Linked DNA regions of Schizosaccharomyces pombe. The gene in region 2 interacts genetically with the main gene of each other region. Each region holds a gene or a part of one and is shown on either strand. Other genes may lie near its edges.

The links.
Region 1: mutations in pab2 (region 2) and png2 together harm fitness more than expected from each alone (negative genetic interaction), as found in Schizosaccharomyces pombe (2 studies listed by BioGRID).
Region 3: mutations in pab2 (region 2) and pfd3 together harm fitness more than expected from each alone (negative genetic interaction), as found in Schizosaccharomyces pombe (2 studies listed by BioGRID).
Region 4: mutations in pab2 (region 2) and hrp3 together harm fitness less than expected from each alone (positive genetic interaction), as found in Schizosaccharomyces pombe (2 studies listed by BioGRID).

Annotation. Positions count from the first base shown.
Region 1 is NC_003423.3:1,118,936-1,125,619, forward strand, and holds png2 (chromatin modification family protein Png2), read right to left. Parts: upstream 3,027-6,684; 5' UTR 3,015-3,026; coding exon 2,963-3,014; exon of another isoform or gene 2,923-2,962; coding exon 2,851-2,922; exon of another isoform or gene 2,804-2,850; coding exon 2,010-2,803; 3' UTR 1,726-2,009; intron 1,670-1,725; 3' UTR 1,647-1,669; downstream 1-1,646. Other genes in the region: translation termination factor Rrf1, read left to right, coding at 1-360; Cu chaperone Atx1, read right to left, coding at 917-1,047, 1,171-1,246; GTPase-binding protein Rid1, read left to right, coding at 3,893-4,311, 4,450-4,597, 4,666-5,198, 5,248-5,350; ribosomal lysine methyltransferase Set10, read right to left, coding at 5,509-6,684.
Region 2 is NC_003423.3:1,937,685-1,944,664, forward strand, and holds pab2 (poly(A)-binding protein Pab2), read right to left. Parts: upstream 3,105-6,980; 5' UTR 3,073-3,104; coding exon 3,037-3,072; exon of another isoform or gene 2,986-3,036; coding exon 2,732-2,985; exon of another isoform or gene 2,677-2,731; coding exon 2,589-2,676; exon of another isoform or gene 2,533-2,588; coding exon 2,410-2,532; 3' UTR 1,687-2,409; downstream 1-1,686. Other genes in the region: HECT-type ubiquitin-protein ligase Pub3, read right to left, coding at 1-274, 617-795; serine/threonine protein kinase Ksp1, read left to right, coding at 5,543-6,967.
Region 3 is NC_003424.3:599,463-605,729, forward strand, and holds pfd3 (prefoldin subunit Pfd3), read right to left. Parts: upstream 2,057-6,267; 5' UTR 2,024-2,056; coding exon 2,013-2,023; exon of another isoform or gene 1,964-2,012; coding exon 1,865-1,963; intron 1,821-1,864; coding exon 1,421-1,820; 3' UTR 1,364-1,420; downstream 1-1,363. Other genes in the region: inositol phosphorylceramide synthase Aur1, read left to right, coding at 1-722; SPOM_SPAC3H8.08C (transcription factor), read right to left, coding at 2,598-4,289; poly(A)-binding protein Nab3, read right to left, coding at 5,034-5,497, 5,553-5,893, 5,976-6,267.
Region 4 is NC_003424.3:5,374,807-5,385,470, reverse strand, and holds hrp3 (CHD family chromatin remodeller Hrp3), read right to left. Parts: upstream 7,648-10,664; 5' UTR 7,545-7,647; exon of another isoform or gene 7,056-7,544; intron 7,050-7,055; 5' UTR 7,045-7,049; coding exon 6,853-7,044; intron 6,796-6,852; coding exon 2,821-6,795; 3' UTR 2,558-2,820; downstream 1-2,557. Other genes in the region: Maf-like protein Ifs1, read left to right, coding at 318-461, 713-841, 941-1,264, 1,388-1,516; proteasome receptor/ubiquitin ligase adaptor Dss1, read right to left, coding at 2,017-2,159, 2,200-2,241, 2,348-2,378; U1 snRNP-associated protein Prp40, read right to left, coding at 7,772-9,859; GTPase Fet5, read left to right, coding at 10,479-10,664.

The DNA.
Region 1 (6,684 bases), 820 kb from region 2:
ATTATTCGTCCATTTGAAGACGTTGACATAAAAAACATCCTAAAAGCAATTGAAGATAGCAGATACCCGTTTGTAGCTAATAAGCTGAATGCATCAACAATTGAGGTGAAGCCACAACGAACCACTTTAGAAAGTCGGCAGCAGTTGGCCAAAGTATTAGAAGGATACGCAAAAGATAGTCGAGAACAGCTGTCTGCAATGCGAACTGAATTAAAAAAAGAGATTGCAAAAAATAAGAAAAGTAAAGCTTGGACGTCCGATGATTGTTATAAAGCAGAAGCGGAAATGCAAACAGCTTTTAAAAATGCCATCAATTTGCTTGATAGCGGTTTGAAATCAGCTTTGAAAAAGGTAATATAATCTCAATTACGCCAGATTTAATATCTCTTTGTGATGTATATTCATTTCATAGTAATTTTATAAACACGACTACATTATGTTTTCGATATACCGAACAAAATTGTTGAGTAAACTCAATTAGAGGTAGCTAAAATGAATGTGAATCTATTATTTACCGAGAAAACAGTTATTGCCTGAATTGGAGGTGCCTATGTAATGTATAAAATAAAATAAAAAAAATAAGTGAAAACTCCTAAGTCAAAAAATAGCAACAAAATGACTGAAAGTGCAGTCTGATAATAAACAATGATCACAATAAATATTACAAACGGCATGTAAAGCGGGGTTCAACTTACCAAGACAATTGAAATGAACCGGAAAACGTCTATAAGTTTATCACAATTTATTGGAGGAAAATAACACCAAAGGCTCAAGCAGTACGCTGTATCCTACAAAACAAATAGCCTCGTCTAGTCGTATATATAAATCTTAACAATAAGGCGACAACAAAAAAGTCAAGAGCATATTTTTGAGAGAACCGATCAGATATGATTAAAGTCGTAATTTTTGCCATGCTCTACTCTAGGACTTTACCGCTGCGAACTTCCTTTCCAGTTTTTTTAATCGTTTGTTCTACGAGCTCATATGGTTTGTCTGTGGTAACGATAACCTCTTGTTTTTCGACCGAAATGGATTTGTCTTCAACACCTACTCGACATTACTTAATTAGTACACAGATTCATCAACAAAATTCCTGAAAAACCATATATAACAAATACTTATATAAATGTAAATCTAAATACTTAAAAAATGACTTTTTTTAAAACGCACCCAGACGAGTTAAAACGCGATCGATGGCATTTTTGCAGCCATCACAAGCCATAGCAACGTTAAATTGGTACTTCATTATCAGATGATCAAAAATTCAACGAGATTTGGACAAGAAACTGTTAATTAACTTTTTTGTAACACAAATAAAAACAGTATTTAAAATTCAAGAAAATCCCAATTTTAAGAATTACTTTAGATGAGAAGGAGGGAAACGATAAGTTGGAAAATCCATTAGTAAAAGCATTTAGACGTAATGCAAGGAGGTATCCTTAAAAAAATAACGAGAGAGATATATTTGCTATAGATGTGTGTCAGTAATAATGCACTAAGCTATGATACACTATGTTGTGTATCACTATTTGTCATTACTTTGAATACTATTTAAATTCGCTTTTGAAACATGCATGAAGGAATTTCCATTTATTAACAAGTATGTAAGCTAACAAAACAAATTCAAAGAAAAAATTTAATAAAGTTTGCGCCTAAAATTGCTTCCTTACTTCAATGACTAGTTACTAACAAATTTCTAATAAAAATAATTATAATATTACTTACTCATACATATTGCATCCGCTTTTTGTAGATTGCAAACAAAACACACCGTAGTTTTACATATCATTAAATAGTATACCGAGATACGTAGCTGATGGTTGTATCCTTTAACGAAACCATAAAAATCGTTATAAGGGTTTTATGAGGTATAGAAATGTTGTCGTTAGTTTAATTGATTCAGTAAACAAGAGCAATGCAAGCAGTGGTAATGGATGTTTCATAACGATGTCAAACACTGAGAAATTAACAATAAAAAGAAGGTGAAAGAAAATAAAAAGGATCCCGGCTCATTGACGACTTTCAGATGATTTTGCTAACTCTTCACATTCTTTACAATACCAGATCCCCTTCGGTGGTTCTACTAGACCAACGCAAGGTAAATGGAACCATTCTCTTTTACAATTTTCGTTATCACATCCAATCATTTGTCCATAGGAAACTTGTTGACAGTAACAGTAAAGTTGCTCACCTTCACGGCTGATATCACTTGAATCTAATGTGTCGTGTTTGACAAGTGGTTCCCCATTTGTCTGTTTTAAACGAGATTCTGATCTCCGCACTGGTCGCCTCTCCGTAGATTGCGGCGCATGCTTTGTACTCGATAATGGAGGTGATGATGATTTTCTAGGAACAGCATTTTTTCGACGCTTTGTAGGGGTGTGATAAGAAGATTGCGGCGATGAAGCGTCTTCAAAGTTGTTATATGAAGACGACCGTTCCTGAGAGGAATATTGCTGGGAATGCTGGTTATTTTGATGCCGACGGGTTTCCCGTCTCCTTTCAGAAGTTTGAGGAGTCACAGTAGAATGATAATTCATTAAAGCTCGATCGTCTGGATATCCCAATCTCAATTGTTGGGGAATCTCCAATTCAACATATTCAAACCCAGCATCCAAACGGTCGATACAACTCTTGATATTATTCATTGCGTCTGTGGCCAAACAAATCTTTGAATCAGAATATGGAAGTATCTCTTTTAGTGTCTTTTGTAATCGCTCACATCTTTCTTCTCCTGACAATTCGTCATTTTTCTCGTTTTTTAGAACCACACCAATTTCCTGTATGACATTTTGACGGATATCTAAGATTTTGTTAACCACACGTTTTAAAAATATATATTTCACTTACCTCGTACTTGTGCATCGATCTCTTTCAAACTCGTGAATTTTCCACATACTGATTCAGGGACTGAAACAATGGCTGTAAAATGTTAATCAATGTGTTTATTTTCGCCTCTTACCATCTGTGAAATCATTTAAAGCTGCAAATATTTCAATTCCACTCGTCCCCATGATATTGACACTAAGCACGTTACGTTGTGCTGAGTAGGAAATGTATGTCCCACCTACTTCTCTCACTTTACTACATCCCTACGTGAAATAGCAAAATTGTATGTTTAATCTATTGATAGAAAGAAGTGATTCTATTATAAGCGACGCGTTTTAATGTACCAGAATTCTAGTATAATTTCAGCACTGCTTTGAACTGTAATTTTTAACGACATTATGTTAGTTCAGGTAATATGAGCCTTCTTGTTTAACCATACATTTCCAAATAATCAATTTATTTTAGATATCGGTTCTACTACTCAGTTAGTTGCACCTTCATTATAATAGCAAATTTTGGATGTCCGAAATATTTTTCCTTTTCACAACCTTCAGTGAATTCCAGATAATTGAGAAGTACATATTAAAATTCTTACCCAAAATAGACCGAGATTTACTATATCTTAAAGCTCAATACATTCTTATTTTTCCATTCTTCTCATTTGACTTACATACGATAGTGTATATACCAATATCAAACATTAACTCAACACGCGTAATCTCAAAATTTTGCAAGTTGGATTTACTATGTATAGCTATTAATGAAAATAATGATAGGCGTAAATAGTATGGTTTATTAAATAACGGAAGCTTTCTCTTTTTTTTTTTCGAACATTCATGTGCTATTTTCCTTCCCTAAGTCTAGGGCCATAGCTTAGTATTGTACATATTAAAAATTGGAACAACCGTTCCGCGTATTAGCCTAATTATTGAATTAATTCCCGATATTGTCCGTTTCATGTTCCTGTGGCTTGTTCCTCGGACGCGTCAGCGTGCCATTTTAATATATACCAGCCCTCCCATTTCTATGTAAATATACCACACGACTATTCCTTACACACATTATGAATTCTCTACGTTCAGTAAAACGGCTTTTAGGTGCTCGCTCTTTGAGCTCTGATGGGCTCTCTGAAAGCGTTAATTCTTCTGATCGAGAGGATAGCTTGAGCTTTCAGACTCCTTCAACCCCTTCTGAAGATGAAATGCCACAATGTTTTGAAGATTTAATCAAGCCTCAAGTTCTTTCTTCAGAGGCCTCAAAGAGTTTACTTTCCCTTAATGAAGGAATTAAAATGGAAATCGTGTCCAGTTTACAGCAAAAAGACCAGAAAAAGCGAAATAAATTAATTGCTTGGATGCGTAAAAAACCATGTTACGAGCAACCTGACGACTTTATTTCGTATATTGTAAATACAAAAATTGACTCAATCGATGAATCTATCATACACAAATTAGCTCTACTTCTCAGAAACGAGCAAGTAATGTATGTTTACATTTTGTGCAGCTACGTGAATCAAAGTGGTGATGCTTAAATTATCTTTTTTTTTGGCACTACTATTGTTTTGATTGAATGATAAATCATTCGTTTATTTTGAGGTTTTTCATACTAACTGCAATACAGATGGGTAGAGAAGTTTATACACAACGGCGGTTTCGGTGTAGTATTTTGTACAATCGACAAAATCTCTCGCCTTGAATGGAGAGAGGAACTGCACGATTCTATACTGGAGCAACTTTTACTTTGCGTTAAAGCCATGTGCACTGTTCAGGTATGCATGTGATATACATTTAGACCTATGTCTTCATTGCCTTTGACAATTGCTAACGTTTTTCCTAGCGCGGATTGGAATGTTTATCTCAATCCACTTATAATGTCGAGCGATTGATTTCCCTTTTGCTTTCAAAGAAACAGCCATGTGATTTTGTCGTAAGGGAAGTACTCGTTCAAATAGTTCACTCCTTTTACAAAGCTCATCTCGACAAAGAAGAAGGTGCAATGCAAGTTTTTTCCTTGTTTTCTATTAAAGACGATAAGGATGAAGAGGTTGAATTCTTAAAAAACGTTCGAGTTGATCGACCTTTTCGCCGTTGGATTATCGAACTTGAAGATGTTAGCCGTAATGTCTTCTGGGTGTGGAACCACGATTCTAATGTCATTGATTTGGAGAAACAATATAATCAAGTGTACGAGGCTCCATTGGGGTTTATTGGTGGTATAGAAACCGAAGCCACCAGCTATGTTGCAGCTCACATCCATCTTATTAATGAATTACTCGAAGGCTTACCTTTAGAGAAACGTCAAAGAAAACGTTTGGAACTCCAGCTAAGTGGATTAGAAAGAATCATGGGGTTACGGTTTCGAAAGAGCAGGTAAGCAATTTTTTTCAATATTTATATAAGCAGGCACTTACAAATCTAGTCAAAAATTCCATAAGAAGCTACATGAAGCCCTTCGTGAATGGATAGTGGCTGCTAAAATTGATGATTGGCCATACAAACTTGTGCAAACTGGATCAACCTAACTTTACCCTAATTTTCTATGCACTACAATCATCCTATGTATATAAAAGACACTAAACACCTTAATCATTTATCAAAATACGTCTTGTCATCTACTTTACCTAACCCAATATTGGAATACTCATCGTACATTATATATTAATCGCTTAATTTTTATTTATCAATTATGGGCAATAATAAAGGTAAATCCAGAAAAGTCGAGACTTTCGTCATTTACCAATTGCAATGCCCAAGAAACATTTTCTTTATTAAAATGCTTGGATTCCCCAAATACGTTTGTAAATTGTTGAAAAAACATTTCATCCAAGATTTCAAAGACTTCAACACCTTCTGGATTAGCAACGGCTGGATACCCTTCCACAAGCATACTAATTGAGAAAGGTAATTTTTCAGAAATAGATAAACAATATACACAAATCAATATCATTAAAATATCCTGCTCATCTGTAGCGACCAATGCTTCAGCATCGGTTGAACCATAGAGACTCTCAATGGCATGCGAAAGTGGTGCAAACAAAGGATGTTGCAAGAGGAAAATAGATATCGAATTAAGGATGAGATATTGCAAAAGGTTTGGAAGAGGTTTGTAAGTTTTTTGGAGTGATTCTTCCATATAATTTTTGACATAAGTGATGGAGTCTTGAAGAATATTAATCTGACTATCGCGATAAATTTTGGCCCAAACCTGCCTTTCAGAGGTCGGAGATACTTGCGGATTTGATTTTAACAAAAGGTCAGCTCTAGAGTCGATGTACATAAGTAAAACTTCCAAGGACTTAATCTGGCCTCGTAAAGAAGGGACATAAGAAGCTAGATCACCCGTCAACAAATGCGCTGTCAATTTTCGAAGTTCAAGAGAAGAGGCAGTTACAACTGCTAAACATTGAAGAATCTTTTGAAAAATTTCCTTATCTGGGGACTTTGGCAAAAAAAATACTAAATTGCTCAACTGAAATTGGCAATCATTCTCAAGAATGGCAGCTTTTTGATCTTTATGCGGTAAATCTGGATGAATAGCTACTTTTAAAGTCACTGTATCAAATGGGTTATCAGGTAAGCAAAACCCATAGCCCATTAGTAACTCTTCGTTGCCCTTTGGACCGTAATTATTAAACAGCTGGTTGCCTTTTGCAACCAACTCTTGGGAAATTAATTGAACAGATTTTTCATCTTGAAAATCACTATTCCACAAAATTGGCTGCTTTGGTTTATGATTCAGACTGTCAATGAGAGGAAGAAGAATGGGAGTAGACTCTGAATCCTTATATATTAGATTGGATGAAAAACATCTAGATGAGAAAACAGTGGCAGACCATATATACAAATCGAAGGTAAA
Region 2 (6,980 bases):
ACTAGTAGTGCGATTGGCTGTAGTAGATGAGTGATTTCCGGCGGGAGCCCTAATTTTAGACGGGGCCACCTTCAATACGAGATTTCCCAAAACGGAAAGATTAGTGGTGGAAGATTTTTTCAATGGTCGAGTAAGCGACACTTCGCGATTTGATCGAAAACTACCAACTTCACGCATACGAAAGGATACTAAGCCAAGGAAGCCTTGATCTTTCTTTTTGAACTTTTTCTGATCAAAAAGGCGTATGGATATAACGCTAGATGGCTTAACAGTTCTAGAATTTAGTTAGTATAACGGAACAAAGAAAAGGGCAAAATCAACATATTGAAAAAAAAAAAAGAAAAAGATGCAGTAGTAATAAAAGATTTGCAAAAAGGATAGGATATGATAATATACAAATGATGTTGTTATTAGAAAATTGTTAAAAAAATTTCGTTATGGAGCCACAAAAACTATCCGACCATCAAAGAAATGCTTAGACTCCGAACTAACGTGAATACTAAGAGTATAAACATATCTATCCAAATCTAAGAACATCCAAGGTCCAATCTCTACCATCTCTTTTTTTTTTATTTTCAATTGATCATGTTATCCGCCGCATTTGTCATGTGCTTACACTTCAAATCCTTCATTCCAATAAGGGTTCACCGATTTTTTAATAACTTTCGTTGTATGAGTTTGCTCGCCATCTACCGTTAAAATAGCAAAGGGATCGGGCTGTCGAAAAAGATCCCGTTTACTTAATCCATCAGCAGCTACTATGTAGAACCGGACTCTTTTCGCTCCTTGTTCCATGTTCTTAACATATAATTACTTGGATTCCTCTAAGCGGAGAGGTGAAAGTCGCGAAACTTCACGAAACCTTCAATATGTAAGCGATTGTGGTAAATGGTAAAAGCGGATACGTATACCACAAAAGGTTTCAATATTGAAGCGGGGGTTCCGAGCCAGTAGGAAGGTGGGGGAGTTTGGTGGTAGTATGAAGAACGCTGTAGTTCACTACGCAACGATATTCTTGTTTTGCTAGGGAAATGCGTTTAAAGATACTAAGCGTTCGCTGGCTAAACAGCAACTTTATATGTAATTTAAAAAGGCAAAGAGAGTGTTGAGGAAATCGACCAATTTATCTTTTTCGTTGTAGAAGTAGTAAACCGATATACGATCTAAATTGGCTCTTTTTATAAATCGACAGACGAATGCTCGAATGCTCGAATGCTCTCTGGAATATCCTAGTGTAAATACCTGTTGGTTGGCTAAATAGTGGATCAATAGGTGTAACTCGCAAGTTCAGCGAATATCCGCTCAGCTAATATTTGGCAAATCGAAAGAGTAAACAAAGGTCATCGAATCTGAGTGGCACAGCGTAGAAACGACTGACTTGATTATCCTTGTTACTTTTATTTATCGCTTCCCTATACGAGTTGGGTAAAAGGCAGGAAGGAAATTATTTGTACTGGAATCCGGAATATGCCGCAGGTAGCTAAAAGAAATTGACTCGACATGTACAATATATGAACATAAAAATCGACTATGTAAAAACTACTTAATTAGATATACACCAAGCTTTTTTTGTTAAATGTCATTTTACATCATGATGACTAAAAATTAATTTCCTCACAATTATTACATATAAAAATGAACTTGTAGACTTAGAAAAGAAAGTCATACATTTTCTATATAAAATCATTAAACAGAATCAAGAAATTTATTAGAAATATAAGAAGATCCTCAGCATTAAACTCTCCAAAGGAGAAGAGAAGAACGTTAATGTGTTTCACTATATTAAACACAAAATGTAATGGTGAACACAGAGAAGTATCTCCTCATTACAAAAATATATATATAATGAAATTATACATTGGTAGGTGTTTAGTTTTATTAATCAAGAAAGGAAGGAGATGACTGTAATATGTGATACGGTGTATAGAGTAGCTTCCTTTTCTGACCCCTTTTCTAATCAAGCGGATCAAGATTATGACGAGAAATTAAGCTGAGCAAATAAATTTTCAAAAACAAAAAAAAGAAAATTTTGAAGATTATGAACGTGCATCAGAAGCATAAAAACGACAATATACAACAAAATTTTATGAAGCTGGCATTGTAAACACAAAAATGCAATCAACTAGTCCATACCCAAGAGGAATTGAAGGGTCGGTGAATTACATTATGTCAGCATATATGTTTTAATATAGTGAATGGGATCATGACTTTAAAGGAAACCCGTGTAATCCAACACAAAAGAATAAACAAGGAATATAAACATTTAACGAATGAGTTGAAAGAAATACTAGTTAATTTCCAACATACTGTTAAATGTCATTTCTAATCTTTTCCCACCTAACTGTTATTGGTGACGATTTGAATGCTCATAATTCATTTTTCACTTTTTCAAGTCATCAAAGCGATTACCTAATACGGAGCGAAACCACGGGCTCTTCCACGATATCCTCCTCTGCCACGACCCCGTCCACGTCCACGTCCGCGACCACGACCACGGCTCATACCAGGAACGTTTGTCCGCTTGGGTGTAACCTACATTTCAAGTTAGAATGCATGTTGCTGGTAGTTACTGTGATTGTTTTACATACCTTTAAAGGTCGTTCATGCAACATCGATCCATTTAATAAAAGAGCATTAGGCACTAAGCTTGGTTCACTGAACTCGATGTATGCAAATCTACGAAACTAGGTTAGCTGTACATTCCAACGTCATCCACAAGTTCGATTCATACCCTTTTGGATGTCCCGTAAACTTGTCACACAAAATGGTAACGCGATTAACAGATCCACAACTAGCAAAATGACTTTGCAACTCCTCTGGAGTAACACTGTAATCAACATTTCCAACATAGACACTTTGAGCATCAATGGATTCCTTATCGTTTCTCAAAGCTTCCGTTTCATTATCTAGTTGTTCTTGCATGGCACGAAGCTTTGCAGCCTCTGCTTCCATTTCAGCAACTCGCTCTTTCATTTCCAATAGTTCCTAATCATGTAAGCAAATAATTCCACCATACTACACAGTCTGAATTCCTACCTTTTCTTGGGTATCTAAGGCATCTTGATCACTCATTTTTTCAAATTTTCTGCTACACGCGTGTGGTTGGAAGTAAACTGTTCAACCAGTATTCTTTAGCATGTTGAGGGTGACAAAAGTTTCCCTCTATGCTCTCAGAGTAGCGACGCTTTGTTTCGCGCAAATTTACAATAGCGTATGGCACGATTAGAGACGGAAAAACCGATTTCTGAATGAAACAGCACAATATGGTGTAATATTTTCGTATTCGTTAATACGTACAATATGTGTTTAACGAGGATTTGGACTGCCTGCTTATAGTTCGGATGCTTGGTTAAGATGAGAGTGCTCACAAGTAAGTAAGGTGAGGTTTGTGGACATTTTTGTATGGCGTGTTTGGTTTTATTGTATTGCTAAAATCACAATTCATAAGAAAGCGATCTTTAAAAAACAATTAAGGAGATTGACGGGATATGCCGTTAAATGTTTAGTTTTTGGACGTAACGAATACCTAAGTTGCTTGAAGAGCTCTCCCACTTGAAGTGAAATAAGTGGAATCCTAAAGAAATACGATAAGACGTGATAAAGTATGGCATAATGTAGTTCTTTCATGGAACTTCGAACTCAATTATTACACACTCTTCACCATTGATATACGTATCCAGGGTTGGTATTATCTTCATTAGCTCGATAGCCAAGGGTGATGAATTACAAAAATATAGAAAAGGGATATTTTTGAATGGAAGTCTATTTAAAATAACTTCCTGTTTTTTAATTGATTTCTTTAATAATATTCCGTATTTTTATATAAATTAATTTATTTTTTCTGATTTTTACCATTATTTCTTTTTTTACTTTATTTTGTAGTTTTTTGTGTTTTTTTTTTTTTGTTCAGCAACCCATCTAACGTAATGCTATCGTTTATATTAATTGTTTTTTTCTTCTTCTTTTGTTTCTACGCTTTAAATGTAAAAAGAGTCCAAGTCTAAATAAACCAATTTTTTTTTTTTTTTGCCTGGGGATACTAATAATTTAATAAAATGGAAATTTCCCAACAATGTTTATCTATCAACCACAGCAAGCCGTTCCCAGCTTAACTAATACTAGAATAAAACAAATAATAATAAAGCATCAAGTAACGGTATATTTCGTTTCATATGCGAATTGTAGAACCAATACTACAGATACTTCACTATTTATTTATCCGGTAGCAGTCTACCATTGATTACCTTCTAGACACCGTTGACGATTCACATACCGAAGCGGAGAAAATTAATAAATCAGAGTTTTAACTCAAAGGAAGCTTCTATGATCCCTTCCAATCTCGTACTTCTATTCAAGGGCCTATATATCTCTTGATATTTAATTGCTATGGCAGCTTCCTTAAACCAAGCAACATAATGATCAAACAAAAAGCAAATTGTTAGGCAATTTTAAGATCATTTCATTAAAATGTACGAAATAATTAGTTCATATTCGAGGCTTATATCTTTCTCATTATCGAACATTTTCCATCGTTCATCTATCTACTTTGCTATTCTAGTTAACAGTGGTTACTTGTGCATCTAAAACGATCGGTGAAACGAAGATAGAAACGAGAAAAGAATTCAATAAGATGAGAAAAAATAATTAAAACAATTAGTAAAAATGAAAATAGATTGTAGACGATAGCATATGTGTCTATAAATTAGTATATACGACTTGTTCTATTTTATATTTATTTATTTATCACGCACAAGTTTAAGGAGAAATAATGCACTACACAGTCACGTTATCATAGAATAAGGAAGAAGAAGTCAGAACGGGATAAATTGATCACGAATCTTCCTTACCAACTCATCTACTATCTCGACATAATTGTGCTATATTCCACTAAATTTCGTTAAATTCTCTATCGCAATCAAAGGAACATCAGCACTAAAAAGAACTCCTCAGGGGGGGCGGATAACTTTACCCTCTACCAACAACAACCAACCAAGGTTCTGTTTTCTGCTACATTTCTGGGTTCAACATGAGAAAATTTGCTTAACAAAATATTAATACACACACGATCTAAGTGAATTGCTACGAAATTCTAATTCTCCCAAAGTATTCAACGCGAAACCACTGTTTTCATACCCGCCATCCTCTTCGAACAGCCAGGCCGACTTTTCTTCCCTCTACTAGGTTATTTCGTTGCCGAAGTATTCCGCCAATCTCTTTTTGAAACCTGTTTCTTGTACAGGTGTTGGCTTTCTAGAGATTGAGTGTTTACTGGAATTTGTTTTTGTTTTCTTACTATCTTTCCTCTTCTTCCCCAGGTGTGTACTGTGAAGAACAAATAGAGTATATATATATTTCTGTATTTATATTCATATCTATATTATTTGTTCAACTTTCAAAGAACGACCTGTTTGAGTCTATTAAAGGAGAATTTAAGAAAACTGTGAATTTTAGGTATCATTCGACCGACATTAAGTTATCATCTGCTCGACCTCTCAAACTTTGATTAAAGAAGAAAAGTTCGGAATCGAAAGTGTGTGTGATTATGAAGCTGCTTCAAAAGAAAGGTTATAAAGTTGAGCGCCCTCTGAATAAGGGATCGTATGGCACTGTAGTATTAGCCCATCGTCTTTTTCGGACTCCCCGTTGCAAGGATTTGAAGTATGCCATTAAGTGCATCAAAAAACCTGCTTATACCTTTTTGCAAGAAGTCAATATCTTGCGCCAGCTATCGCGGTCTCGACACCGCAACATCATTCATTTCGTTGAATCTTTTGAAGACAATGTATACTATTATGTCGTGCTCGAATATTGCCCTCTTGGTGATTTATACGAGTGCATCTTGAATAATGATTTTCCAAATGCAAAGAACCAACCTGAAATGATTAAGAATATTTTTCTTCAAATCATTGATGGTGTTGCACATTTGCATTCTCATGGTATCTACCATCGTGACTTAAAGCCAGAAAACTTTCTTCTTTCTCTTTCAGAAGATGGATCTGAGCTTGTGGTCAAGATCAGTGATTTTGGACTTGCTTGCAGGGACAAAATATCTTATGACTTTGGAACTGGCAGTGACCGTTACATGGCTCCTGAACAGTTTGAGGAAGTTGATGGTGCTGGTTACAGCCCTCGTGCAGCGGATATATGGGCTCTTGGTATTTGCCTTTTAAACTTAATTTTTGCACGTAATCCTTTTACCTATCCACACGAAAAGGATCCTATATTTGCTGATTACATGTTGGACGCAATGACCTTATTTGACGTTTTCCCTACGTTGAGTCAAGATACATATAACGTCTTGCGAGCATGCCTTTGTGTGAGTCCAGAGAAACGTTCTCTCGCCAAAACGAGGGAAGCCGTACTCGCGGTTACCAAGTGGACGACAGATGATGAGGAATTGGAAAGCTTCGTTAATGAAGAAGAAGAATTTCGCGCATCCGATTTCATGCCTGCTGAGGACAACGTTCGTTGTACTCAATCAGATCGCGAACCGTTACGTACTCCATCTGTTTTGACACCCGCTAACACCATACAGCGTGGTCTTCTTCCTTCAAAGTTGCCAGCTTTGTCTGACGTTGATGAGAACATTTCAACCTCGTCGTCTCCTCGGAGCCCTGCATCTTTGGCTCCAGTCAACAATAGCGAACGTTCCTATGATTCTGGACTTGGTGAAAGTCTCAATAATATGCATATTGGAAAATCCATTGCAACAGCAGTACCCGTTAATACGAAACGTTCTCCCTATTCTTGCAGTGCACCAGCTATCGTATTTCCTAACAGTATTAAAGGAAACAAGGATCATCTTAAATTTGGCCGCAGTTGGTGTGATATGGATGAAGAAGATGAGGAAGACATTGTTAGCTTCGGCTCTAACGATGACTTTGGTGCTTCTGACGAACTTTCGTCTAAGCACATTGGACTTGCTGACGACTGGAATGTTCTATCCCAGTGGAATGATAACTCATAAACGATAACTTGTT
Region 3 (6,267 bases), on a different chromosome or scaffold from region 2:
CTTTTGGTTATATGAATTTATTTGGTGTTCTTATCCAAATGGCTTTCCCCTGTTCTCCTCCTTGGTATGAAAATATGTATGGTTTAGAACCTGCCACGTATGCAGTACGTGGCTCTCCTGGTGGATTGGCCCGTATTGATGCTCTCTTCGGCACTAGCATTTACACTGATGGTTTTTCTAACTCTCCGGTTGTTTTTGGTGCCTTTCCATCTCTTCACGCTGGATGGGCCATGCTGGAAGCACTTTTCCTTTCGCATGTGTTTCCTCGATACCGCTTCTGCTTTTATGGATATGTTCTATGGCTTTGCTGGTGTACTATGTACCTTACCCACCACTACTTTGTAGATTTGGTCGGCGGTATGTGTTTAGCTATTATATGCTTCGTTTTTGCTCAAAAGCTACGCCTCCCACAGTTGCAAACTGGTAAAATCCTTCGTTGGGAATACGAGTTTGTTATCCACGGTCATGGTCTTTCCGAAAAAACCAGCAACTCCTTGGCTCGTACCGGCAGCCCATACTTACTTGGAAGGGATTCTTTTACTCAAAACCCTAATGCAGTAGCCTTCATGAGTGGTCTTAACAATATGGAACTTGCTAACACCGATCATGAATGGTCCGTGGGTTCATCATCACCTGAGCCGTTACCTAGTCCTGCTGCTGATTTGATTGATCGTCCTGCCAGTACCACTTCCTCCATCTTTGATGCAAGTCATCTTCCTTAAATCAACGTGCTTTAAGAATATATTTCCAAAAGCTACATGATACATTGACTAGAATCGGTTTGATTCATAGTGGTATTGGAATGATGTTGTTCATTGTGTTTTTTAACTGTTAATCTGACATCCATTGAGTCATTCTTTACAATTTGTAAAATTAATTTGTATCACTAATTTTGAAGGAAGCTATTTTGGTATTAATACCGCTTTTGGTCTCCACTTCCTTTTCGAAACTCTTAACAGCGATTAGGCCGGGTATCTTCCAGTGTGATGTATAGGTATTTGTCGTTTTTTTATCATTTCCGTTAATAAAGAACTCTTTTATCCAGCTTCTTACACTGTCAACTGTTGTGAAAGGAACACATTTAGAATTTCATTTTCCTTATTTGTTGTGATTTAAATCGTTTGACATAATTTTAAATTTGGTTTGAAATGTGTGTGAGAAGGCTTGTTTTATTCATTTAGTTTATTGCTTGTTTGCACGAAAATCCAGAACGGAGCATTAATGTAATCCTTTTTTATTCTGTAAAGCGTTTTTATACAAATGTTGGTTATACGTTTCTAAAATAAGAATATTGTTATAATAATATAGTTTTTTCTATCATTTGTTACACACACTAAAGAGACATTAAGGATAAGCAAATGTGTTAAAATGATAATATATTTTGGAAACATTTATAAAGAAATTAAGCAGCTTTGACTAACTACATTTTTGTTTTTTTCCTAAGCAAAACTGTATAGTTATACACGCGAGCTGTATTCACTTCCATTGTAGTGACTTGAGCTCTCAAAAATTCCAAATCTTCTTTACATGCTTTCAATGTTTCTTCCGCTGAGTTCAGCTTCTGCGTTAACAATGCTTCTGCCTCTTCAACCGTATACTCAAGCATAACATTTGCACCTAACCAAAGGTAGACATTGTCTTTAGCTTCTACTTCTGCTTTTGCATTTAATGTGTCATTTAGTTCATATGTAACAGTAAAAGAGTCACCTTGTCGCTCTTTCAAGAACTGAACACTCTGTAACGTTTTTCGAATGTCAGGAATTTTGTCATCCAAACTAGCAACTCTCCTGACCACACTAGTCTCCATGAATTTGTACTTTCTAAATTACATTATATTAATATGAAATAACATATATATCCTTACGCAATTGCTTCTTGGAACTTTTCGAGATGACCTTGAGCTTCCTCCATAGATAACTCTTTGAACTCAAAAAATTGAGCGGGTGGAATTCCCCGTGGATTTCTATTCATATTAGTTATTTTTTTAAAAAGTATTATACTTCAGTACATACGAAGAACTCATTCTCTATGCAACAGAAAAAGGGGCGGTTGTTTTGAACAGGTAACTGAGTGTCAAAGGTAATAGGTATAGTAATGTTACAAATTTGGAAATGCGTATTATTCCCTAATTACCAAATCTAACCAAGTCTGAACTACACAGTCTAAATAGGCAGAATATTTTGGTTATACACATGTAATTGATAATTGTTGCAAAATCTATTCATCCAATTTACCAACCATAACCTGTATAGAACCATTGCGCAGCGTAATGCATTTTCATTTGAAAGTACTAGCGAGAGTTTTATATCACTAAACTTTTTAAACGTTTTTTAATTACTTGAAATCACATATTTTAGTTAAACATATTCTGTTTGGAAAAGGCAGTTTTGTTGAAAAAATTGTATTTGAAAGACAACTTTATAGAAGGATAGTAAGAAAGTTAATTCCTAAATGGTCTATATTGAACCAAAAATAGTTACATTAAAAAACGAGAGTCATTAAAAGAGCAGATAAATTTGACATTAGAACCACTTTGGAACATTAATCGAAATTTAATCAATCATACAAACAAAAAAATTACAAAGTGCTCGTTTAGGTCACTGATCAAGAAGGGCGGACGGTATAAAGTAATTTGAAGTAAAATCAAAAATGTCAGCGAATAATTTAGAGGGATCCTCCGTGGTTTCAGGTTCTGCATCTTGCATAGGCGGTTCATTTGGGTGTAACATACTGTTGATGAATCTTAAAACATATCCAAATCGGACAGCCATGCCATCATCAAATGTTACGATATCAACCATTCTTTCTTGTACATATAATGTTATGTCACCTAAGTCAGAAGGCACCTCAAAGCCTTTATCACGGCAAAACGCAGCCAACATGAGGGCGTGGATAATCTCCAACAACGCTACCAAAAGCCAGCCTCGTTTTTCTAATATAGTGATTTGAGATATGAGTAGCCTCACGCACTGAATACAACTTTCACCCAAATTACCAATAATAGTTTCTTCATCTTCTAAAATCCCTGAATCCAGGGTAATAAAACATTGATACAAATTCACACGTGCAGTCCAGAACACCATTTTCAAAAATATGTATCGAAATTGAATATCTTCATTAGAAGGGTCATAAAACTTTGCTTCTATATCTACCAAAATAAGCGAAAGCTGTGATTCATAACTCTCCAGTTTATCAATGAATTTACTAACGGTGAGTGAATGAACAGATTTATAGATTGAAACACCACAATCAAGTAACCTTCCAAGAAGTAGATGAAAATTGTAGCTAATATCGTCATTAAAAAAACAACGAAGCGGCTTGAGACGACCATAAGTGTCGTGTTGAATGAATGGCGGACGGTACTTTAATACACATTCCAAACCATCAATTTCACAGAGAGCAAACCACAAATCTGACGTATTTTTTCCTATTTTTTCCGTAACTTGGAAGAGGGGAGTTACTAAGGTTGATACGTGAATGCTTCTACATAAGTCAGTATTCACTCCTCTTATTCTTGTGCGAAATTTTGTTGCATACGCTCGCAAAAGCAGCATCTGAATTATTTCTTTATCAGGCAAGCATAAATGTTTATATTCCTGCTCGGATATCTCGTTAAGTTTTAAATTTATAAGACGGCTGGATTCCAATGGAGTAATCCCCGCCGAATTATAAAAATTGAGAATAACATCAGGCAAATCGCTCAGCTGGATAGTTGCAGCAATAATTGGTAATAAAGTGAAGGCATCTTCGTACGAAAAAGATTCTGGTGATTCAATGTTGTTTAAGCTTTTTTCTACTGTCTCTTGATCATAAATAGGACAGACAACATTTAGTGTTTTAAAAAATAAATTAACAATTTTCTGTGATATGCAAAATGGCGGTAAAAGGTTCGCCAAACTCTCAACAACCACATTATCTTTATAGCTACTGTAAGCCTGAATTGAAAACGAAGGTCGAGATGAGCACATGTCGCTATCCTTTCTATATTTAATCAACTCAAAGAGTGATCTCCATCCATAAAAATCAAATTTCTCATTTTTTTTCGGATTAATATCGGGAGAAACTTCCAGTGTGGTTTCAGAATCAGAAGCATTTTCGCTATGACTAGGATGTGGTCCGACGTTCATTTTATCAATGGTATCATCTGCGTAAGTGCAAACCTCGTTCCTTTCTTTACATCGAGAGCAAGGCTGCTGACGGTCGCATTTGACCTTGCGGCGCCTACAAATTAAACATGATTTTGGGCTGCGTTTTCGAAATTTCTTTAAAGCTGGAGGAGAGGAAGACATTATTAGAAGTATTGATAACTTGATAATTTCCTTTCAAGCAATTGTAGTTGCCTCCGTATTTGAAGTGGAGGCACAAAATAAAACGAGGATCCTTCAAAACTTCCTATTTTAGAGAATCCTTTAAAAGCACCTTGATATTCAGACCGACCAGCGGTTGTTATTTCTAATTAAAAAAATTAACCTGATAATATACTTTAAATAAAGTTCCTTAATTGCAACTTCAGATTGGGAGGCACTTGTATTACTAGTAATGAAAAGATTATAATATAAAAGTTACTACTTACTTACTTACTAAGCTTACAACGTACTAGTCGGCGTTGCGTAGCAGTGCATCGCTGTTATCAGATCAATTAAACTGCACGTTTACCTAAGTAGTAAAATATTAAAAGGACATTTGACATTCATGATCATCAAATTAATAATAAAAATATGTCGTTGTTATTAATTTTTACTCGCTAAATCTCTTAATCAGTAAAAATCAAGTATCGAAACTTTCTTCCTAACGATTTATTACCATTTTTTGTATGCATCGAAAAAAATACAAATGAACAGTTGATAGTCCGTGCAGCAAGAAAAATTACTTGTCTGTTGGTTTTTACATATAAATGCTTCAAGAATAACTGAGAAAAAAGTGAAATAAATATTGAAGACAAGGACATATATATCGCAAAACCATATTAACAAAGTGCTACCTAAAACACTTGTTAACAAATAATATATATAAACCTTTTCTAAGGTCAGATATCAAAAATCAGGTTGCTTGAGCTCTGCGAGCTGCTCTAATATCTTTTGAAGTTGCTTGTTTCCAGCAACTGAAGACCTTTGGCGGCTTTCTTGAGAATGCAATGCTTCGTAATTATCACGAGCATAATTTTTAGGCATCTCATTCACAACAAATTGGGACTGAGATGTAATTGTTCCAAATGATCCTCCGGTATCATTAGGATTAAAACTAACTCTAGTTGGAATGTATGAAGTAGTGCTATAGGTATTTTGAATGAATCCTAATAAATGGTGAAGATTAACAGAATCTAAAGAACCTACTAAAGCTGGTAGATTAGGATTCGTTGATATACAGGGAGATGGCACGTCAGGCACAATACGCTCACCATTATACGATGGCGTACTAGAAGCAGCTGAGTGCATGAGAGAAGTCTTTGCGTGGTGAACAATACTTGCAGCAACCATCACGTCCACAGCAGCATATTCTATAAAGACAAAGTTAGAGTTCTGTCAAAACACATATATCTTTATTCAACGTACCATCACAACGGACTTCTGAATCGCTAGATCCGTCTTTAAACACTTGAACCGACACCTTCCCTAGGTGAGCCAAACCGGCGTTTATCAAGATAATGGATTTAACGCTGTTAATAATACAGCTTTTAATAATGACTTGTAAGTTTGAGTCACGGTACAAACAAGTGGTATGTATATTCAATCGACGCTCCTGAAAGACTTTTTCCACTCCCCATACAAATTCCTTTGGACAGTCTTCCGTGACTAGTATTTCACAATCAGGGCTGAAGTTTTTAGACATGGATATAGATCCCTTTCTATCGTAGGATTTACCCTTCGACATTAAAGGAGATCGCGTGCGTTTTCTGTATTACGTTAGCAAGGCTAAAAAAACAAACAAAATTGCGATGTTTTGCGAAATTAATTGCAGCAACGATAATTCCTTACCTGCTACTAGTGGGATAAGGAAGGTTTCCAATCATTTCAGAATATTGATTACTTTTGGTAACATGTGATCCTTTCTTCATGTTTTCTATTTGATTTTGATATTTCTTCTGAATTTTAGAAATTTCCAAATGCAGCTTTTGACCCCGAACAAAATTGCCTTGTTCCGCATTTAAAGCCCTAGCACAATCTTCGTTTGTAAAAAACTGAACGAAACCATAATTTGCTTTTAAAACTATCTGTGCTAAAGGCCCATAAATTTTAAAAACTTTCCACAAATTTCGTTTAGATAAGC
Region 4 (10,664 bases), on a different chromosome or scaffold from region 2:
AATGACTGCAGAAGCTACCAACGCCATAATACATGCGAAAAATCTCTTTCAAAGCTTCTCTTCACATTAAAATCGGTCCTGATTTTTTTTTTTACTCGTATACAATTCACATTTTTTTAATACCTTTGACTGTACAATATAGCGAGCTCGAAAGATATGGGGTCCTATTGTATGTCACTATTAAATGTTTATGTGCTTCGTTGCATCCGTACCTATTGGTAATAGAAAAAGAAACACAAAATTTGCAAAAAACAACTTTGAGTTAAATTTGTTGAGTTCAAATCATTTTTCAAAGTTTACTTCTTTATATTTTCAAAATGAGCAACGAAAAAATGGATACGTCTCCTCCTTCTTACGATTCTCATTTTACTTTGGAAACGTCAATGCACCGTCAATTAAAAGATAAAAGGATTATTTTGGCTTCAGGATCCCCTCGCAGAAAGCAGTTATTTGAACAGATGGTAAGAAAAATAAAAAATGGAGACAATTTTTTGAATCATGTAATCTACCCAAGCAATTGCTTCCTAAAAAAAGTATCAATTGCTGTCGTTATTATATTTTCCATGAAGCATTGCCCGTAAAAATTGTGTTGTATCTTAATAAATTATTCTTATTTATGATTCTCTGTTTTGTGTTACTTAGAAGTTTTGGAGTTCGTCTCTTAATTTCATTCGTTTGGTCGTGTTCGTAAACTAATGTTGATTTAAAATAGGGATTTCCTAATGTTGAAACCTGCGTTTCCGGATTCCCCGAAGATTTAAATAAATCTATGTACATAACTCCTTGGGAATATGCTGCTGACACTTCGGTACAGAAAGCGATTGCAGTTTATGAGAAACTGGTATGGATGTTTAATTTAAATTTTTCTTTACAGAGAGTTTCACACTGAAGTCTCTAAAGTTGTCTTGTTTTTCTATATTAACGCATTTTTTCTACTTAGGCCGCCGAAGAAGATTCACCAGACATAGTTGTATCCGCCGATACTATATTGATTTTGGATTCTGAGATTATGGAGAAGCCCAACGATCCCAAGCATCACCTTGCCATGCTGAAAAAGCTCAGAAATTCTAAAACACCCCATAAAGTATTTACTGCTGTCAGTGTTATTGTGCCTATGGAAGTGCCTATTCATCCAGGTTATGTTATGAAAACACACCTTGAAGAAACTCAGGTGAAGTTTGACCCTTCCATAACTGACGAATTTCTCGAAGCTTATGTTCGTTGTGGCGAAGGTTCAGATAAAGCCGGAGGCTATGCTATACAGGTATGTTTTTGGCTGTTTTTAGGGTGATGGAAGTGCCTGAACCGTGCGTGCTTTCAAATAATGAATTATAGCATTTTTTGTTTTTTTTAAATTTTTACGCATGACTTTGCTGACTAAGTTTAGGGTCACGGCGCCTTATTGATTGAGTCTATCATAGGTGACTTTTCCAATGTTGTAGGCTTGCCTATCCGCGCTACTTTCAAGTTGATGGAAGAAGCCTTAGAACAAGGAGATGCTGATAATTACGATTAAGAATCTTCTAAGAAATTAAGTTCATGACAATTGCGTTTCATTTTCCCAGGCACCTTCATCTTTGCCTCATACACTTCAATGTTTTTGTTTAAATTCCTTTACATATTAACTACGCGTCTCTTCTTTTGACCATTTGAAATGATCATCATTTGAACAATCATGGGTTGCTATTGTCTATAGTAATGCAAATAGGTTTTACATTTTCTAGCTTATCTTCATTTCGCATATACAGGCAGTACCGTTTCGCCGGTAATTGTTAGAATATAATCAATTCAGGCGTATATAAGTATCATAGACCTAATTTACAGATATGGACAAGTTGAAGTTCTTTAAACGTAAAAATCTTCAACACAAGAATATCTATCTGCACCGTATTTACAGAACCAGCAAAACCTTAGAGTCATGAAAGAACCTGTATTCGATCGTTTTGTTAATGCATTAAAATTATACTGAGGGATGAAGGCAGTTTCGGAGATATACACTCTGGCAGAAGCAATATCTTAATTGGCGGCAACACCCTTCTTTTTTAACTCTGCTTGTAATTGAACAGAAAAATCATCGTCTCCAATGTCCTCATCGTCCCAATTGTTTTCCCATAGCGTATCATCTCCAGTATCAAGCTCTGTATCTTTCATAGGCCAATCTTTTTGATGTTAAATAATTATTTCTTTAAAAGTACTTACTTTCTGTTGCGAAATCTTCAAACTCATCATCATCCTCAAGGTCTAAGCATTATGTTAGTAAACGTCTTTAGGCCAACGAAAAAATCATAGACATTAGCATATCGAATAAATAGTACTCGAAAGCCACTCTAAATAATTTGTAACGTACTTTCTAAGCTTGGTAAGGCCGCACGAGACATTCTAATTTATAAACGTGATTTGGTGTGAAAGGTGAACCCTGCCGTACTGTGATGTTTGAATGAACTTTTCACTGGTAACGATGTCTACTGAGTTACACTATTATATTTACAAACTGCATAAAGTTGCAGACTAATAAATAGCAGTTTGCCATTGATATTTCAATTAAAAACAAATTGTATTACTGGATTATTCTTATCTATGCTGACTCTATGTTCTGAATACCGGAGGATTTCCTAAAGTCAAGATTTGAAATGCAGGGTTTATTAACATTATAATTAAAGGTACAATAAGAAACGATTTTTAGACTAGAATTTAGTGATCTTTGAAATGTAGCAATCAAAATTGAAGACTGTAAAAGATAAACATATTCGAGCTTCAAACCTAAAATATTCCGGATGAAAAATGAAGAAACAAATTGGCTTTTGTATGACAGGCTAAAATCTACTTCATCTTTTCATACATGCTGATCAAGCTGGTATATTTAACCTCCTCCTTCGGCCAAAAGTAACATGCAAACATCCATAAATTCTTCCTAACAGTAGCTTTTTCTTCGGAGGGTGTATCATTGACAGTTTTTTCAATATGCTTTCCAATCGTTGTCAAACACTCAGTAAGTAACTTCACCAACTCCGCGCGTCCAAGCCCACTAGAATCTTTCCGAAGTCTTTTCATATGCTTACGGACTGGATACATCAGTTCTTTGCAGCGTGCCTTTTGTTCAGCATTTAGACTTACATTACCATCGTCTTTTTCAGATTTGACGGGTGAAGCTGTCTGGCTGCGAGACTGTTCCCTACTAGGTGTTTCAATCTTCGTGTCTTTAGAAGAAGGTTTCTTACGAGATTCTGAAATTGCAGGCGATGGTGTCCTAGTTGCACTCTCTATTTTTTGCGCAGATTTAACGTTAGGCTTGCCACTTTGTCTGCGATTAGCCGTCTGCTTCTTAGGTTGAGTTTTTCCATTAGTACTAATAGCGGGGCTTGATTTTATGCCAAAATTTTGGTGATGCTCACGTAAAGCACTAAGTAGGTATTCACCTCGACGAACCAAATGCACAGCTGAAGGTACCTTTTTCTCTTTATTTTCTTTATCTTTGGGGACAGAGTTGTCTGTTTGTTTTGTGTCTTCTAAAAAGATCTTGTCTTTCATTTTGAGTTCTGGATCATCTCGAATTTCTAACCAAGCTCCAAATCCATGCTTACAAATTCCAGAAAGCAACATGGAATCTTCTCGGGGTCCCCACTGACAGGACCAGCCGTGAACAGATCTAACGTGCATTGGAATTTGGAAGTTAGAATATCCTGACGTTGGCATAGCATCATAAAGAATATCAAGATCATTTAGCCTTTGTACCAATGTTTCAGCATTTATATTTTTTACACCTTTAAATGTAATGAGCAGCGCTTTACGAGATGACTTATTATTAGACTGATCATTAGATAAGTCCTTCTCGGCTGCTGATACAGCCTTGCGTGAAGCGGTTACTAAGTCAGCTGCAATCTTTTTTATTACGTGAGCATCTTGCGTAGTAAGATCAGCATATTTAACAATGTCATTGTAGCGATGCTCAAGGCTTCCATATCTAATCATAGCACGATAAAGCAACCGAATTTCCTTTTCCAGTAAAACCTCATCTTTAAGCATTTGCTTTTTGCTCTTCCTTTCAGAAGTTCCAGAGTAGGATGGGGATTCCACCGCAGAGCTAGGATAAGGACGATTACCTCGTCTACTACTAAGCTCAATTTCTTGCTTAAGCGCTTCTTCCTCTTCTCTTAAGCGGTCTTCCTCTTCAAACTTCTCACGTTCAGTTAGGGGTATAATATCATCCCAAGATACATCTGCCTTATAGTCTGTAACTTCGAACTGTTTCAAAAACTCTTCACCACCCATGCTGGCTCCACCCACATCATTGGAAGTATCATGATCTTCGGCATGTTCCAAAATTTCATCTAAATTCATATCCTCAAGCTTCTTTTGATTATTCTCTGCTTTAAACATATTAGAAGCTCCAAATTTCAAAATAGCGCTAAGCTCTTCAGCAGAAAATTTATCATTTTTGGAATTCTTTTGCTTGTCTGTAACACCTAATGAAATAATTGCATATTCAAGAATCATTTTACGACGTGCACGTTCCAAGACATCTTCTTCAATCGTATCTTTGGAAAGAAGCCTGTATACCATAACATGATTTTTCTGACCAATGCGATGCGCACGTGCCATAGCTTGTAAATCAGCTTGAGGGTTCCAATCGGAATCAAAAATAATAACTGTATCAGCAGTCATTAAATTAATACCTAATCCTCCAGCTCGTGTGGATAATAAAAACACAAAATCTGGGCTGTTTGGTGCATTAAAATGATCTATTGAAGTTCTTCGTACAGCAGCAGGGACAGTGCCATCCAGTCTCTGATGTGGATATCCCCTCAAAGAAAGATAATCACCAAGAATGTCAAGCATACGAACCATTTGACTAAAAATTAAAACGCGGTGGCCGTCTCGACGAAGACGTGATAGAAGTTTGTCAAGTAACACCATTTTCCCGCTGTTCATAATTAAACCTTTTAAGACTTCATCTCGTCTTCCTTGAGAGTTTATTTTTTGCATCCATGACTCTTCTACTCCGTCAAATAAGTAAGGATGATTACTTGCCTTTTTCAACTCCACAACTATGTTTAGTAAAGATATTTGACTTCCCGAACTTATGCTTTGAGTAAGGACACGGTAATTGCGAGTTAAAATATTTTTGTACCAGTACATTTGTAAGTCAGAAAGCTCAACACGAAGGATACGTTCAGACTTAGAAGGAAGAGATTTCTCAACGTCTTTCTTTAATCTTCGTAAAATGTAGGGTTGTAAATGCTCCTGTAAACTTCTAATATAAGCTTCCTGCTCCTCATCTGGTGCTTCTAAATTAATTTCCTCACGAATCTCAAACTTTCCTGGCATCAGGAAGTCTACCAAAGCCGCAAGCTCACGAATATTATTTTGTAATGGTGTTCCAGTTATAAGTAATCGATTTGAGTTCTTGAACTGAGAAAGTGCTTCATAAAGTGACGATTCACTGTTTTTTAATCGATGAGCTTCGTCAATTGCCATATATTGCCATTTTATATTACTAAGCACCGAGCGATCTTTGAGTACATACTCATAAGTAGTTAGAAGCAAGTTGAACTTTATTTTCTGAGTTCCATCAACATAAAATTCGTAATCCCTTATTACTTGCCTTGAGGTGGTATTTCCAAGGTAACTTATACAATTCATATCAGAAGCCCAAAGAGCTAATGTCTCTTGCCAGGCAGGAACTGTAGAAAGTGGAACAACTACAAGAAAAGGTCCATGCTGTCTTAAAGAATGTGCAAGATATGAAAGAAAAGCCACAGTTTGGACTGTCTTACCGAGACCCATTTCATCGGCCAAAATCCCATTTTCATTTTTATGCCAAAGATATGCCATCCAGTTGACGCCTGTAAGCTGAAAGTCACGAAGCTCACCACCGGTTATATACGAAGGCTGTTGCTCCAGTTTTCGATACTTAGGACGCGAATTACCATAGTTTGTACCTCTTGATGGACTAAGAGCACTTTCTTCTCTTTCTTGAAATGCCTGAATTTCCGTGGCAGCAATAGGCTCAATAATTGAGGAAGCTTCCCATGTGCAAAAATCATATAACAGCTGCTTCCATTTCACTAAGTATTCAACTGAGCCATCGGAGTTTAAGTGTTTGGCAACAATTCTGTCTACCTGCTTATATTCCTCGTAATTTTCACGCTTTCTCTCTTTTTCAATATCCATTGCTTCAATGTCTTCACGCGTAGTGGTCGGATCTTCTCGAATTTCTCGATCAAGAAGTATGACTTGCTTAATGTGATTGTCGACCTTTTTAGATCCTCTGATCATAGAAATGTTATTGTAAGGTTCCCATGTACAATGAAGATGAGAAAAATTAACCCATTTAATTAAAAACTCATAATCTTCAGAAGGTGTAGAGCCATCGTGTCCTTCAATAAGTCTATGATCTAAAACGACATCTATAGCTCGTGTATCTTCAGGTTCTTCAGAAACTTCAGTTGCGTACTCATACATCTCTTCTTCCTCTTCTTCTTCAAACGATTCAAAATACGCGTCTTCGTTATAGTTAACACCTTTACTATTTCTAGAAGAAAATCGAATTTCATCTTGAACGTAGGTGTTTGATTTTTTTTGCCGAGATCGCTTTTTGGGAGTTCCGCCATAAGAACTATCATCTGACTCACTTTCCTCAGAGGTGACAGATTCAGCTTCATCGTCTAAATCGCGAATTGTTCGATGACGAGAAAAAGATGAACCATTTCTAGTACCTTTACGATGCTTGGATGGGAACACATCTTCTTGATCATCAGTGTCTACATATCTTCCTGGATTACTACGAGTGCGACCCTATAATGATTAGCATCTAAGTAAGTTTCATAATGAATAAAATAATGTGAGACATACAGAACGTCGAAGACCGTAAAGCTCTGGGTCGAGCCATTCAGTAGATTGTAATTTGCGCTTGGAGGCTACGCCGCTATTCGAAGGGGATTCGGACATTTCCTGCTTAAGATTAGGGGTTTCAGTTTGAACGTGATCCAGCTGCTCAATAGCCTTAGATGATGACAAAGCAAGTGCTATAGCACTTGTACTCATATCAACTAAAACAGAAGTTAGAACCAATTTCGCAAATTTCTTATTGCAAAACTTTTCCGAAATTGAAATGCTGAATAATTGTGAAATATGTAATAGGCTTCCATCCAACTTCTAGTTAACTGAGAACTGCCAGATGCCACTTTAAATGTGAATATTTATAACTCTTGACTAACGACTATATTTAGACGAGATCCGAACAGATTTAAATAAAGAACACATATTAACTCCCGTATCTTTTCGATAGGAAGCACTATATCGTTCATTTTCGAAGAAAGAGCAATTTTGAATAAAAGGTCGAATGCCACCAAAAAGATTGTATCACAAGAGAAACAAGCAAAACATAATAAGAAAGAAGGTTTTTAAAAAAAGAGAGCTACATTCAGTGCATTGAACAATGTAGGTTTAACAAAAAAATGCGACACGTGGATCATTCACATATTCAGCGTCAAATTCGGAAAACGAACTGTGGCTGCAACAAAATTTAATAAAAATTTACTTACGCGTTATTAAATAGAACGCTTATAGCAGTATTTTGCTATTTTAATAGCAACTTGCTAGTTTTGTTACAAAAACAATTTTTGAGGTACTGGTGGTAGAGGTTCAAATAGCTACAGGCTGTATCCGCTACTAAAGGTAATCAAACTGTATGAATACAAAAAGCGAGTTGAGAGAACATTAAAATGCATGTGTATTAAACGCACTAACAATTAAATTTCTAACTTGAATACTAACGAATTTCACCTTCTTCACTAGATTCTGCATCATCAACAATATTTTTAACAGCCGGTTGTGTAGCGGTAACATGAGAGATTGAATTTTCCTGTACATCCTGCATCGTATTAATTTCATTCCTATTACTTTTTGACGCTAAGTCAGCAGAATATTCCAACCTTCCATCTTCGTATCCGCTATGTGGTCGGGCACTATTCGCTAAATAACTTTCATCTTTACCGACATCATAATAACCTCTTCTGTTTTGGTATTGCTTTTCCAATTCCCGTTTTTCTCGAAGCCGTCTTATATATTTGTCAAAAGCAGCCATCCTGTGTTCCTCGGAATGGAGCGCAGCAAATTCCGGTAGAATAGAAATTAAAGGTCTAATTTCATCGTAAGAAGCATCGGCAGAAATTGGAGGTTTAAGGTATTTAATGGCACTTCTGAGATTATCAATTTTCCTTCGAATGCGTCGTTCATCAGCACGCTTTTCCTCAGCTTTTTTGTGGATCGCTTTATCACGTAATCGATTAACAACTTCTTCAATAAGGTCTTCAGTTACTGCCTCACTTTCCTCTCGATCTTTAAGCTTTTCTGATAACCTTGCTATAATTTCAGGAATATTAGATGTGTCATCCACAGATATTTGCAATACTTCAAGACAGTCCAAAACCAAATTACGCTTTTCCCGATACATATTCTCCAAATCAACGATCGTATCCCAAAATAAATCTAATGGTGTAGAGCCAGATTGCCCTAGTAAGTTAAGATATCTTGGATCATCCTTGATTATGGGATATAATTCTTTCCACTTCGTGCGTAATGTAATCTTCTTTTGCACGCGTAAGTCTTGTAATAGCGCACGAAAGGCATCACGATTTTTCCTTTCTATACGATGCTTTTCTTTCTTCTGCTTTTGTTTGTCAAGAATATATTCGCGTTCCAAATGCTTAACATGATCTTCAAATGCTACAAGAGCATCTAATTTAGAAAGATATTTCATATTTGAATTCCTTGTATACCTTGGATCTTGATCAAATTTTGCTTGCGCAACGCTCCAGCGGGTGTAAGGCTCGAAATTCATGTTTCGCAAAAGCGAACAAAAATCATCCAATGCTTCCTTTCTGCGATCCTTTTCCAACTGCTTTTCATCCTCTAAAAGCTTTTGCTTATATTCAAAAAATAGTTGTTGTTGTTCAGTTTCAGAAGAAGTAGCGTTAAAAGCAGGATGAGAAGAAAATTCATTCTTCACAGTACGCCACAAAGTATAAGAATGAATTTTATCACTACTTTTTAGCATCTCAATAAACTCCTTCCTAATCTTAGTTACTCGGTTCTTTTCTGCATCACTTTGATCGGTCAAATAGTTTAAGATGTACGCATCGAAAGCACATTTCCGATGCCAAGGATCCTTCATGACATAATAGCCCTTAGCATCACAAAGCTCTCGGACAGTCTGCTCCCAAGTCCAGCTTGGGTTGACATTATGAGAGTCTAAAAATTTAAAGAAAGCGCGCTCTGCGGCTTCATAGGTATCATAGTTTTCGTGCTGATAATCATTAGAACGTTTTTGGCGCTTATCCTTTTGTTGAACAAAGTTTATAGTTCGTTTATGACTGCCTTGTGAAATTTGTTGGCTTTGATCTTTAGCTGGTTGACTTGAAGGAGCAGCAACATCCGGACCATGCCGTTGAATGCTTTGAACAGCTGGCTTGTTGTCATTGCTTTTGATTTTAGACGACAAAGCCTTTTTTTGCTGTTCCGGTTCATCAACAAGGGCAGCTTTATATTCATCAGGAATATCCCACACTGATTCACGGGTATTGACATTATACCAATACTTTTTGCCATCAGCGGTGGCATATTCTTTCCAAGCTAGTTTCGAAAGCTTTTTTTCAAAGTCATTCATTAACTCCTCTGGTTTTTCCCAAACACTTTTGCGCGTTACTGAGTTGTAGTAATAAACTCGAGAATCTTCTGTCTTCACTTCATGCCAGTCAGAGGCCACAGTCTTGGAAGGAGCTGCTGACGGCCCTTCCTGATTAGACGTGAATCCCTCAGTTTCATCGTACTCTGAAGTTTGCCATGGAGGTGCAGACATCTTCACATTTATGAATAACTCCCCTTAAAATTGGGGTTGTGGTTTAAGCCAGCGTGTAGAGTTACACTCACTGTTCACTACAAACGGGTGTGGTGGTCGAGTCTATATGTGGGGGACTCGTTGTTTCACTGTATTATCAACTACGTAATATCTAATTGATAATAGAGATACGTTAGACTGTGGTCAGTTTAGAATACATTTACTATATTGTTGTAAACAGGTCTTGAGAATAACAGACTTCAAAGTGAGTTAATTTACAAGCGATGCTATAGCCGTTGCTAAACAACTTATGACTGAGTTGAAATATGGAGTGAGTTAAGCTGTATCAAGAGAAATTAAACTAATTTTATACAAGAAGTAGAAAAAGCTATATTGACATCGTACTTATATTAGGGGGTATTCAAAAAAATGAATGTTTTTAGTGACGTTTAACGTAAATTCTGCAAGACTTAAAGATTTAAACAGAGCGTGTTATTCACAGTTAAAGTATTTGTTGTTAAAAGTCAGTAAAATACTTAGGGCATCGCATGGCGAGTTATAAGGGTGCATACGGGCACAGGTAAGAAGGCATAGGATAAAAGAACACGACGTTTCAAAAGACGTTAGTCTTTTTAGAAAAATGGTTAAGGTGGCAGCTTTTGTTTGTGGTGTTGCCAGCAGTGGTAAAAGTACGTTTTGTGGAGCATTAATGTCTTATATGAAAAGCGTTGGACGTTCTTGCCATTTAGTTAATTTAGATCCTGCTGCAGAAAACTTCGAATGGGAACCAACTGTTGATATTAGAGACTTAATATCCATTGATGAT